Linked DNA regions of Nothobranchius furzeri. The protein of the gene in region 1 binds, or shares a complex with, the protein of each later gene. Links are inferred from orthologs where the notes say so. Each region holds a gene or a part of one and is shown on either strand. Other genes may lie near its edges.

The links. The genes of interacting proteins can lie anywhere in the genome.
Region 2: scap (region 1) and rnf139 share a complex: the UniProt entries of both Homo sapiens proteins name them as parts of the SCAP-SREBP complex. The link is inferred for Nothobranchius furzeri from reciprocal best matches to the Homo sapiens genes SCAP and RNF139.
Region 3: the proteins of scap (region 1) and insig2 are in contact, whole or in part, in a cryo-EM structure (PDB 7ETW), measured with the Homo sapiens proteins. The link is inferred for Nothobranchius furzeri from reciprocal best matches to the Homo sapiens genes SCAP and INSIG2. Residues at the interface, in NP_036367.2 of Homo sapiens: Pro200, Ser206, Val282, Ala283, Glu284, Ile286, Pro287, Thr290, Ile294, Ala297, Tyr298, Phe301, Lys305, Tyr351, Val354, Val355, Glu359, Thr409, Leu410, Val411, Ser638, Tyr639; in NP_001308258.1 of Homo sapiens: Phe41, Val45, Leu48, Leu49, Ile51, Val55, Leu57, Phe58, Pro59, Val62, Ser65, Ile66, Glu104, Trp105, Ser106, Met109, Arg110, Val112, Ala113, Val114, Val116, Gly117, His120, Gln132.

The regions. Positions count from the first base shown.
Region 1 is NC_091745.1:65,124,484-65,128,746, reverse strand, and holds the start of scap (sterol regulatory element-binding protein cleavage-activating protein), read right to left. Parts: upstream 2,833-4,263; 5' UTR 2,605-2,832; coding exon 2,429-2,604; intron 1-2,428. UniProt on the Homo sapiens protein: Escort protein required for cholesterol as well as lipid homeostasis.
Region 2 is NC_091759.1:12,644,746-12,649,096, forward strand, and holds the start of rnf139 (E3 ubiquitin-protein ligase RNF139), read right to left. Parts: upstream 2,842-4,351; 5' UTR 2,429-2,841; coding exon 2,266-2,428; intron 1-2,265. Other genes in the region: deoxyribonuclease TATDN1, read right to left, coding at 3,693-3,795, 3,890-4,016, 4,245-4,315. UniProt on the Homo sapiens protein: E3-ubiquitin ligase; acts as a negative regulator of cell proliferation through mechanisms involving G2/M arrest and cell death.
Region 3 is NC_091754.1:36,998,947-37,003,151, forward strand, and holds the start of insig2 (insulin-induced gene 2 protein), read right to left. Parts: upstream 2,842-4,205; 5' UTR 2,680-2,841; intron 1,684-2,679; exon of another isoform or gene 1,555-1,683; intron 1,361-1,554; 5' UTR 1,334-1,360; coding exon 1,245-1,333; intron 996-1,244; coding exon 823-995; intron 1-822. UniProt on the Homo sapiens protein: Oxysterol-binding protein that mediates feedback control of cholesterol synthesis by controlling both endoplasmic reticulum to Golgi transport of SCAP and degradation of HMGCR.

The sequences.
Region 1 (4,263 bases):
GAAAGATTTAATCTAAAAGCTCCACAGCTTTTAAATAAAATAAAACAATACATTTGAGTTGTGGACATCCTGTCAAATTATAAAGTTTTTTATGCGACACGAATCAGAGATAAGCTTCATGGAGCCTCTTGTCAAAGTAAATATAGTACTAAATCTCTAAAGCTAAGACTTATCTTTATTTACTAAAATGCAGCAGCACGCCTATTGACGGGTTCGAGAAAGAGGGAGCACATCACCCCAATTTTAGCTTCGCTGCACTGGCTGCCTGTGGTTTATAGGGTCCAGTACAAGGTTCTTTTATTGGCTTTTAGAGCTGTACATGGCCTTGCTCCGCAGTATCTGTGTGAGCTTTTAGTAACTTTCTCCCCGTCTCGGTCACTGAGGTCAGCCGACCAGTTTCTCCTGGAGGTGCCGAGAACAAAGAGAAAGCTCAGGGGTGATAGAGCTTTCTCAGTAGCAGCTCCAAGGTTGTGGAATGCACTCCCGATTCAGATTAGGATGGTTTCATCACTGTCGGGTTTTAAATCCCTCTTAAAGACTCATCTGTTCTCAGTTGCTTTTAATTCAGTTTGAGAATGCATCTGTTTTTAGTAGCTTTTATGTCAGTTTGATATGTTTGTTTTATCATGATTTTACCTTGTGATTAACTTTTTATCTTGTTTTTAGAATTTTTGAGGAAATTCTGTTCATTTTGTCTTGTTAAGCACTTTGGTCAGCTTTTATGCTGTTATAAAGTGCTATATAAATAAAGATGACTTGACTTACTCCATCCACCACACACACCATGAATAAAGACATGCTGCATTTTTCCTCCAGAGTGGTTTCTACTGCCATTGCATGCTACACACCACTTAAGACACACAGCTCTTTCAGAGATCCAAAAGGTGTGGGCACATTCCCGCTAAAGGAAATATCCAAATTTAACTGATCACGCCTGGGGGGAAAAAACCAGCTTTCATGCTGCTTCCTTTCAAAGAAGACAGGGGTTATTTACATGAAGGTGAAAAAGCACGGAGGCAGAGGTTTTGCATACATGCCGACTCGGGCATTTGATCACTTGGTAATTTCTGTTTCTCACAGAGAAACAATTTTAATACAATTCACAAACAAAAAAAAAAAAAGATTTTTAAGGTCTGCTTCCCCAAGAAACTGTTTAAAATTGTTCTTTCAGAAAGGCGATTGGTCACTCATGCATGCTGAATGTGAAAATGTTCTCCAATCCCCATCATCTGCATTTGTCACAGAAAAGAAAGAGACATGAAATGATCTGATAGGAAAAGGCAGATTGCTTCTATGTCACAGAGAAAATTAGTGTTTGTGACCCGGCCCACATTGGCTTACACAAGAAGGAAACAGCGGACAGCATCTCGCCTAGTATAAGCTAACCACTAGCAACTCAACATGGGAGAACACAATCAGGTGTGTGTTATTTGTGGAGATAAAACACCAATGTTGCTTTTTTTTTACCCAAGAAAGAAAAAGCGAACAAAGGCAGAAGAAAAGCTGTGGTGCCGTTAGCCAATCAGAGGCGAGATGTTCGCATATCATGAATAATAATGAACAAGACCCTCTCGTCCCACTCTTCTGCCAAACTTCCAACCCCAAAACAGGAACACCAAAACCTCTCTCCACAGAAAACGACTTGCAAGGCATGTTGGAAAATCACTCCTCCGACAAACTTCTACTTCCTGTAACAGGAGCGTCAGATCATTTCCATAGAAAACGACTCACTAAGATTTATTAATAGAAACCACGGCAGATTAATAGAAAAAAATGAATGGATGAGACCTTTAAAGGAATATTTTTGCGCAAAAGCTTTGAATCAAGCATCAATCTGTCTGTCTCTGTTGTTTCTCCATTAGCTATGCTAATGGGCAGCTTTGATCAACCCTGATTGAAGAGCTCCGTCTGGAGCTACGGCAGGCCTGCACTTTTTCAACTGTTGCCACGTTTTCAGCATTTCTGATCTTTGAGATTCTCTAAATCAACTACTCATAAATGATGCTTGTTTGGAAAGAGCATCATACCGCCTAAAAACATGTGACAACTGATAACTCGATGTCACTTGTGGAAATCACCCTTTCCACAAACATCCCTCCCTGCTTGAGAACAAACTGAACACTGATATCTATACATGAGCTCCGACGTTGTTTGAAATCTGTGCCTTGAGGGCAGTTCGCCTCACATCAAACACAAATGTCCGTTCCGCTTCCCCACGCCAACTCAATCTCAGCTCGTCTCACGTCCGCTGAGCTAACAGACGGAGTTGCTGCTGCAGCGTTTGCTGCTGTTGCATGGCATTAGTAGTGTTTTATTCATGATCCTACTTAATCATTTTCCTGTCTGTGATGTCACTAAGCTGTACAAGCCAACATGTCAAGCATGCCCCAACACAGCAGCCCCCGTGTCAGTCACAACACCACTGTACCTGCTGATGGGAGACCAGGTTGTCTCTCGGGATGCCACCTGTTTACGTCCTCTGAAGGCAGCAGTGCAGGGGTTTTTTAGCCTAACTTGTGCATTACAGTTGACATAGTGTTCCCTTCTTGGCTCAGGCAGAGTGCACGACTGCTTGGCTTGTCCTCCCGGGAGCGACGGAAACATTCCCTGGGAGGAACTCTCCTCAGGAGTCTCTTGATCTGCTGTTATAAATATGCTTTACAGTAAACAAAGCTACAACAAGCGTCCACAAAGACTTCACAAAGGTTGTTTGAAGTCAAGCCTTTTCAGTGCCGGCGCCTCTGACCCAGGTTCTTGCCTCGCTCACGGTTTAGCCGAGCATTCGTTTAAAAAACTCTGGATGAAAGTCTCCATCTCTGGTCTGTTTGTCCAGTTTGCTGTACTCTCCAGGGTTATGTGGGTGCAGCTGGAAGGCCTGATTTGGCAAAGGATCAGCAGCATCTCCGTCAGTAAACTAATCTGGGATTGAACTGATCGGAAACTCAACGAACAGGATAGAGGTCTTGAGGCCACCTCCCATTGATTCCCTCCTCCTCCCGTGGTCACACACTTCAGTCTTTCATGCATTAAAAGCATAGCAAGGTTGGAGGAGTCTTACAGCACTTCTCAATCGGAGCGGAAAATGAACAGCAGCCAAGAATTTAGTGTTTGTACGCAGCAGCCACAGTGCGGTGAATCTGAGCTCCTTTCAGCCATTCTGGCAGGTGATCAGTGACCATTCGGGAAAATCTATTCTTGTGGGATTTGTTGGCCCACTGTGGATGAGGGCGAAAAAAAGAGCAGTCCCATAGAAACCTAGCTTACTTAAAAATACATTTTCAAGATAGCAAGAATGATATAAGATAAATAAGAAAGCAAGAATGAGAAATTTGGAGCAAAAAAGAAATACAACCCCAAAAGCAAAAGGCTTACCTCTTTTCAGTTTTTGCTAAAATACCAAACTTGAAAGCCTCTCCAGGCTTCACAGATCCCAGAGACATTATCAGCGTAGCGGAGCCAAAAACCACTATCTCAAAACATTCCACAGATCTTTAGACTGCATCCATTCTTCTTAGTGTAACTGCTTCAAAACCCAGCGACACAGTTACATAACGATGAAGCACGTGCTGCTAATCTGTAGATATTAGTACAGTTGTAAAAGCAGCACCAACCTCACTTTGAATGAACTTGTAACTGTCATTTACAACCAGAGCCAATGACAGAACAGAGAAAACTTCTGTTAATCAGTAACCGTGTTGTAATAACTAAAGATGGCTGGCTCTTTCCACAAGACTTCCTCCTTTCTGACCAAATATTTCAATGAGACAGAAAAAGCCACAGTTTATGCCTATCACAGTGAGTGTGCAGATGCAAGGAAGTACATAGTCTTTTGCTATTCATAAATGTCACCCCCCTGTGCATTTACGATCTAAACCATAAAATAGATTTTCCCAAGATGCAAAGCACAAATAGGGATGGTGGGGCTGATGCAACCATGTTGCAACATCACCTCTCAAGTAACAAACAACGGTAAGCATGACAGACATGCCCAGATCAAAACCATCAAGAGCCACTTTTATTCACACATGCGAAATCGATCATAACAGAGCATCCCAACGGTTTCTACATTTTTCCTCTATTTTGTGGTAAAAATCCAACAGTTAAACTTTTAAAATGAGGGAAACGATCTATCTAGAGAATATAAATCAATTAAATGTTTAATTTATAGCACTTAGTTTCTGCAGTTTAGCAAATAGTTAGCAACAAAAGAGAATGTTATACAACACAGGTTTTTTTGACTCGAGCACATAAATGGGAGAAAAT
Region 2 (4,351 bases), on another chromosome or scaffold:
GTGGAATGTGGTAACAAGCAAGTACGGGAGGCGGTTGTGTCATCCGTCTCACTTTTGATTTGCCAGTGATAGACTGCGAGGGTAAATTTAACCATGCGGAGACGAAGAGGAGGCGAAAATTTGATATCAAGTTCAAAGAGAACGTGCTGATTATGCTGCAGAACACTCTGGGGAGCAGTAGCAGGGGTTGTATGAACTAGTCACTAGTCGACTTCACCGCTCTATAGTGACTTTTTATGCCTGTCATCGACTAGTCGCTGTCACGTGATAATGACCGGCAAGATGCAGTCCACGGAAAAGACAGCAGCCTGCTGTCAGCAGGTGACAAGCTCCTGCGCATCGGGAGGCAACGCGCTGTGCCAGAGCGTCGGTACTGACACCCGCCATAAAATGGACATTTAACCAAGTTGTGACCTTTACCCTCTTGCAATTTAACCTTCCCCTCACCCCCATCCTAACCTTAACCAGCTTGCGCATGCAAAGCTCTGATTGTTGACGCGCTCCAGACATCTGCGTCCTGAGCACGGCCACAGTAACATTATCAAATCAGGTGTCGCCACCTCAAAAACTAATTTAACACGCGATCGTTCATGTCGGCTCATTTCCTTTTATGTTTTCTGTCTTTTATGCTTTTATTTGTGCCTGATGCCTTTCGCTGCTGTGGATCGGGGCGCATCACCTGTTTTGTCCTCGGTGACGCACCTCACTGATGTGGCCAGCGAGCACTCCGCTGTTTTTGCGGTCGGTAGATCTTTTAGAACTGCAGTTCAAAGGTAACTCATAAGGTGAATATATATGAACCCAGGTAGCAGTTTCTCTTTAGGATTGAGAGGAGATGCAGGAAGATAATAAACAGACAGGACAGAAAAATAGTCAAATAAAAACAAGTTAGTTTTTGTACCTGGTGGTTGCAACAAACAGACACCATTGAAGGTAATCAGAAGTGAGGAACAGAAAATGAAATAATTATTTTAATGTTTAGAGCAGCAGGAACTCCGAGAGGCTGCAGGCGCATCAGTGAGTTTGCGGCAGCTGTGCAGGGGGGGGGGGGGCTGAAGCAGAAACTACCGTTGTTAAAAGAAATGTGTTTAACTTTGAAAATGTGGGCGCAATTTTAATTGTCAAAAACTCCAGCGAACCATTAGTTCATTTTGCTCAAATAGAAATTGAGGCCTGCCTCTAATTCTGGTCCTCCTTCCAATAAAGGCCTGGAGCTTGATGAGCTTGAGTCAAATACAGACCCGGGCCTGTATTAGAGGATTTACGGTAATTCTTTAGTAAAACCAATTTAAAGTCAGGCACATCTGCAGGCAGTCTGGTGCTGTTGCCGAAGTTTGAATAGTTTACTGATTTGGTTAAATGTTTAATTGATTGGGCTTTATGTAGATTTTACATTTGAAGTAAATGACTCTGACCTAAATATCCACATTTAATGTATGTAATCACCACTCCTTTCAGATTCCCCTTACATTAATCTTTGAACTTTGTCCTTTCATGTTTGGTTTTAATCAATAAGATTCGAGAACAATGGCGTCATTCAACAATCTGATAAAACGACTTCAGTGACTAAAAGGGGTCAAACCTTGTTGAAACTTTTTTCAATTATCTATAGTTTCACATTGAAGCAGGTTTGTAATTCCAATTTAGATTAATCTGACTTGGTGCTAAGTTTGTTTATATATATATATATATATATATATATATATATATATATATATATATATATATATATAATCGCTTGCATCTCTTACCTAGAGCTCTTTGATCTCTGCAGAAGTCATGAACCGTTCAAAAGTCCACAAACTACTAAAGTTATATAATCTGCCTCCTAACGCCAAAAAAAGAGCGTAAAGACAAATGTTGTACTAATGCATACTCACAACGCCCACATTAAGTTTTAATATTACAAAACACGTCTGAATAAAGCTAGAGTAAAACTATTTTCCTTCAGGCATTTTTGAACTTTCCGCCAGTTTCAAGCAGGTACGCAAAACATGACACAACACCGGTGACCGGCTAATGAACGTTAGCGATAAACAACCTGAACGGGGGGTTTGAAGTGTAAAAAGCTCAAGAAAAAGTGCAAAACAAACTCAGTAACAATTGTTTGAAAAATGTGTCTTGAATGTATGTTCGTGCTGATAATTAAATCGGCTTTAGTTCCCGACAGGTGGAAAGCTCTGATAGCATTAGCTTAGCTTTAACAACTTGCTTGTTGACAAACCGAAAGCTCTTGGTTTGAAATCTGCGCCTAAAACAACTTACCTATAACTCTGACCAACACCTTTCCCATCACCCCTGCCCATCCCGATCCAGGGTCGTAGTAAGAGTTAAACATAGCGTCGATAATGAAGATACAGGGAACTCGCAGCGCCACATCCAGCAGCGCTAAGGCCTGCTGGCCTATGCGGGCTTGGGTGGTCGCCATACGGCTTCAGCTGAGGTTTTACAGTCCTGGTCAGTCCCGGATATCCGTGCCACTTTAACACATGTTCAAGTCCACCAAGTGTCGTGTTATTTTGTTTGGTCCTGACGGTTATTTAACAGCTAGCGACCTGTCGCGGCTCGCCATATTCTTCCAGCTCAACCCTCCTGTTGCTTCTTCAGTTTGTTAAATGTGACGCTCCAGCTCACATCCGGAGTCATTTCGCCATTAAAATTCAAAACGCTCCATCCGATCCTGCGCTGGTTAATGTCACCAAAAACATGGAAACAACGACAACACACTCATTTCCTATAGCTCTGGCTTTACGAAGAACACAAAGTTGTTGGGTGATTCAGATGTGACGTAACGTGACGTACAACTCGTCGTCGGTGGGTGTGACGGCTGACGCAACGAGACCCACGTGCTTCCTCTTTTTTTTTTTACTGAACAACAGGATGAATGTATAATAATAACTCTTACTATGAATAAATTAAAGATGTTTTTATGTGTTTCAGTGTATTTTTTTTTACAAAACACAAAAAAGCTAAAAAAAAAGGGACGATGGTTGCCAGTTATTGATCAGCAACGGAATATTCTAGATGGCAAGTCATGCACAGTAAGATGATTAGCTTATAAATACATTTCACTGTCATACAGAGTTGTTAGTAATTGAAAATCAGCTTAAGATATTGTCAGGACCTATATGTATATGTCGATGGTCAGAACAGATAATAATTTTCTAATGCACCATTAGCAGTTAGCTCAACATTAGCCTCCAGCCTTTTTTATTTATTTTTTTTACCCGATATTAGAGTAAAACAAAAAGGTTGCTGTGGCTTCTTAGGGTTATAACTAATTACTGGGGCACTCCTTTTACTGGCTAACATGATTTCCACAACACTGCTGCTTTTTGCCAGTTGGTGCTGCAACTACAAATGTGGGCTCACTGTTTGAAGACTTGGCAACTTTGCTAGCTCACATATGATTGGATCTGGAACCAGGAAGGATAGAGGCAGGACGGATTGTAAACAGACTGCATCCTTCTTTGGGCCTTTTAAAAAGGAGAAAAACTGAAAAAAATTAGATAAATTTCCTGGAAAAATCTTACTTTCTTTACTATTAACTTTAAAAATTACAAATAGGATACATTGGAAGATACTTTATATTTGCAAATGACCATACTGAATCTATAAACCTTTTCTTTAGGCACGTGCAAACAAACAAGCATTCATAAGACAATATAATGCCATAACAATATCAACTGTTTTCAGCTGGAGCTAAAGAAAACTTTGATGGTGTTGTTGTAGATAGTGTTGGCCAGCTCAAGTGGGTCTTCATCTCTTGTACCTGCCATCACCTCAAGAACTTGTCTATTAAAAACAAAATAAGAGAACGATGGAATTAAAATGCATGAACAATGATTTATTTTTATTTTTAATTTTGCTAATCCCTAGCAGTACTCACACGATGTGACAGGGCTCATTTCTATCCTTCAAACAATGCCCTGCCTCCCATTTCTTCTTTGTTGGAAATGTGGTTTTAACATATTTGGAGCCCACATGAGTGTTCTTCACACCACACCATGGGGCATCTGGAGAAAGAGAAAAAGGCAAAATGCAAAAAAACGCACTAGTTTGTACTCACGGGGTGGAAATTCCATTACCCAACAAGGTCAAGTAATACAAATGGAAGAAAAACTTCTTATACCAACAGAAAGTTTGGAGGTTTTGGAGATCAGAGCACATCAAAGACATTGGTCCATTTTGTCAAATGGCTAAATAAATAAAAAAACCAAATAAATCAATAACCCATAACTCACCAGTTTCTATCAAGAGTCTCTCTGTGGGGATTGACTTCATAGCTTCAATATTGGCTGTTGTCTTCAAGGAGCTGAAAAGTTGCACTTGATTATTAGAGACATTGTAC
Region 3 (4,205 bases), on another chromosome or scaffold:
GATGAGACTTTAACAAGAGGTCAGTTGTGTAAATCAGAATAAGATTAATTATTTTTTCCATCAGTTTAGAGTGAGTGTGTCATCCTGCTACCTACCATTGAACTGGTCCCAAGATTACTGCACATACTGATAATTAGCATCAGGAAGTGTGTTAGGAGTTGCAGCAAAGCTTACATCTGGGTGACCTCTACTCAACGAATGCGGGTTTAAACGGACTTTAGCACTGTCAACACAATGCTGATGCCCTCGCTGGGGCCTCAAAGCACAGTACTGCTTCAGTTCCACAGTGTGTGTGTGTGTGTGTGCGTGCGTGCGTGTGTTGAAGCCCGACGGGCATGTTACACATCCCACAGGGAAATGTGTGTATGCATACCAGCTATGCTATTGCAAGCTTCTACAAGTGTGGCTGATGGAGACCTTCTAACAGCCTGAGACCTGCCCAGGGGACAGATCACATTCACGAATCCAGTCCTGAGCCCCATCCCACAATGTCACTAGGTGGTGAGGATTCCTCCCCTCTAGAGTGCAGGGGGTGTGATATCAGTCCAGTGTTTCTCAAATGGATCTGCCACCTTTGTGCATGTGTGTGTGTTGGGGGGGGGTCATCATGTTGCTGCTTCTATGCAAATGTTTGAAAAGTTGCTGTTAACTTCCCTAAAGAGAAGGGGACGCTAAAATGAGGGATGTGGCTCTGATATGATCGGTTTCTCGTTCACAGGGAGGGTTCAGTTCTCCCAGCAGGGGTGGGAGCACTGCTCAGGGCCGAAATACTTAGATGTGTTGCTCTCATCTACGCTAAAGCCTTTTTTTCTTTTTACACACCTGAGGCTGTGCCACAGCAGGGCGGCACCCACCATGCTGAGGAGAAGATGCTGCTGATGACATCTGGAGGGAAAAGAGTGACATTTCTCTGCACCTGAAGTAAGTTCAGCACAAGAGCCAGGAAGACGCCCACAGAGAACAGCATGCCCCCTCGTATAAACAAGTTGGTGGTCCTGGATAGCAAAGTGAAGGACATTTTGTTTTTATTGTGAAGTAAATTTTAATCTGTTTAGGGCACAGTGTTTGGTACAGTTTATGCTACAAACACGTTACACCCCACTGTTGTAGATCAGAGTTATTCAACTGTAAAACGGGCTCTTCAGGGTTCTCACTAGAAGAATCCAACTATGTAAATGCTGTGATGTTGGTAAGTCAGTACTAACAGGGCATTACAGACCCACCCAGCAACTCTGAAGGCTTACCTGTTGGTGATGGCTGAGATATACGGTCCCCAGGAGCACCGGTGTGACTCTTTGGACCCCGGCCGCTGCCGCCGATCACTGTTGCTCATGGTTGTCAGTCAGGGACATCCGTGAGACTGAACCGGGAAAACAAACAAAAAAGTGCATGAGCTCCTTTTAGAAGAGTTTAGTGTCTGCTGGAGCTCCTTATGTGTTATTGTTGTGTATTTTCTTTAAATTTGTGATTAGTTCACTTTATTTTTTTAAGCATTTATAAAGTTTATTCGTGGATTAATAGTTGTTTATTTTTGTAGTTTGTTTTGTTGTTTACCTTTGTAAGTCAGTCAGGAAAACAATCACTGGGTATTTTGTATAAGGAGGCACTGGTATAGGACCAGCATGCACTGGGGTGTGCGTATGGTTTTTTACCAGAGCAGGAGAAGCAGCAGGAAACAATGGAAAACAGGATCTGTGTTGCCAACCTGGAAAATAAACCTTGAAGAAAACGCAGCTTTCAAGTTTGGACCCTGAACAACTTCTGCCAGCGTACGAAACGTTACCACAGTGCAGCAGCGGCTTTTAAAGTTGGAAAATATGAAGTGAGTTGACAAACAAAGGAACCACCACTACAGTGTCCTTTCCAGACAAATAGGAAAAACACACAAACTAAACACTGCTGCGGGTCCTGTCTAGCACACAGAAAGGTGGCATGTGGAGCTCTGCACTTTTCAGCAGGACCACAGAAACGAAACACAAACGGTTTTCCCATAAACACACAACTGTCGGCCTGCTGTACCAAATTTTACCGAGTACGTTTCACGGTCTCTCCAAGAAAATGTGTCATAATAAATACCTAGTACACACATTATTATTATTAGTAGTAGTATTACTATTACTATTATTATTATTATTATTATTACAACAGAAGACACCAGACTGACTGGAAACGTTGCAGTTAAAATAATAACAGGAGTCAGACGCTGGAGCTGAAACTCTCCAGGTTTGATCAGTAAACAAGAGAACAGCGACCACCCACGCTACCGGAAGGTCACCGACTCTTTATTAATGTCCCACGTTAAACCGCAACACCGGACGAAGGTCGGCCGTAAACAGATGCACGTTAGTCTGTCCTCTCCCCCTAAATCTCACAGGTTTCTTCTTCGGCCTTCTAACACTTTCAGATGAGGTCCAGGGCAGAGGTCAGGAGACGCAGAAGGAGATTTGGACTTTTCCCTAGAACCGGAAATGCTGTCATCGCGTGTTTGACCTCAGCCTGTCAGCAACACTTGCTCCCATGAACCAAACTGCTGCAGCACTAAATAAATGACTAAACACGTCACTTAAATAAAAGTAAGTTAGGGAACAAGTGGAGGTAAAGCTAGCTGAGGCTTAGTTTGGTACATGTGAGCTAGCTGAGGTCCGTCCTGGAAAACGGGTTAAAGTCAAACCTCCTTACCTTATAATGGCTGAGGGTTAGGGGGTGGGCTGAACGCAGCGACACTCTCCAGGAGACATTTGAAGCTGTTCACGTGGAGAAACTACACCAGTATATATCCCCCTTTAAATAGAAGCTTCTGTCTCCGCTTCTAGCTACTTCCGGGACTGAGTTCCAGAAACCAATCAACATCGAGATCCGTGACGTAATCCCTATAAAAAATATCGTTGACATATCACGTGATCAAAGTTACACGCTCAGAATCAGAAGTTTTTATTGCCATATGTGTGCCAAGTCACAACATTAGGAAATTGCTGCGGTATTTTGGTGAAGAAGGTAAGATAGAAAAAAATTAATTAAGAGATAAGCAAATATAAGAACTAATAAAACACTCATGATAAAATTATTAATGTAAAAAGTAGCAAGAATTAGAGAAGCAGCTATCTACTCCTTGTAGGTATTAATCTGAGTGTTTACTGAATCATTCAACTTGAATGGTTCAAGCACAGCATCGGGTCACGTGACTGGGACCAATCAACGAGTGGGCTGCCCTAGCATTTTCATTCAAAAGTCCAACTGCTCGGATCGAATGACTGAAAATATCCCCCAAAAAACGCTTATGTAACCAGAATTTGCGTTTGGAAAACTCACAGGTTGTCTTGAACTTGAAAAATATTAAGAATAATCAAATTAATCAGGATTTGGTGGAGTTTCAAAACAATTATGGACAGAAACAAAAGCTTATTTTCTACAAGTAATGCATGTTTCACCAACGTCAACACAAACATTATTTGGATGACTAATTTATTATTATTAATTATTATTATTATCAATATTAATACTATTATTATTATTATTAATAGTTGTAGTGGTAGTAGTAGTAGTAGTAGTAGTACAAGTACTACTACTACTACTACTAATAATAATAATATTACTGGATTGTTAATAATAATAATAATAATAATAATAATAATAATAATAATAATAATAATAATAATGAGGTCCTCAGAGTCTGAAAGGCGCTATACAAGTATACAATATTGGCTCCTGTCATTGAGATGAAAGAATTAATTTATCACACAGGTTTTTCGAAAAACTTAGCTTACAGAATTTTGTTGAAAACTTCAGTTTTTTTAGATTGTTTTAACCCTAGTTCTTTTTTTAAGTGTTCCCAATGGGACGGGGACACAAGAGATTATTAATCTCATGTATTTCATGTAAAATAAATGTTTAATAAAACTAATGTTCTAACAGCACCTAATTTGACCCCACTGCCTGATGAGTTCAAGTGGAGATGATACAGATGTTGTCTATCTATGGTTTCATTTCCATACCAGTTCATTTAGGGCAGGCATATAATGACCAACCTTTTGCTGTTACTGAAAAGGGAAAGCACCTCATCCTGTTTCTAGAAGCTGTCATGTTGTGTGTTTGTAGCCTGAGTCTGAGATGGGGGACAGAGTCAGCATTAGAAGATTATATCACACAAGTACATACGTTTTTAATCTACAAGATTATGCTGACATCACTGATAGATAAAATAAAAG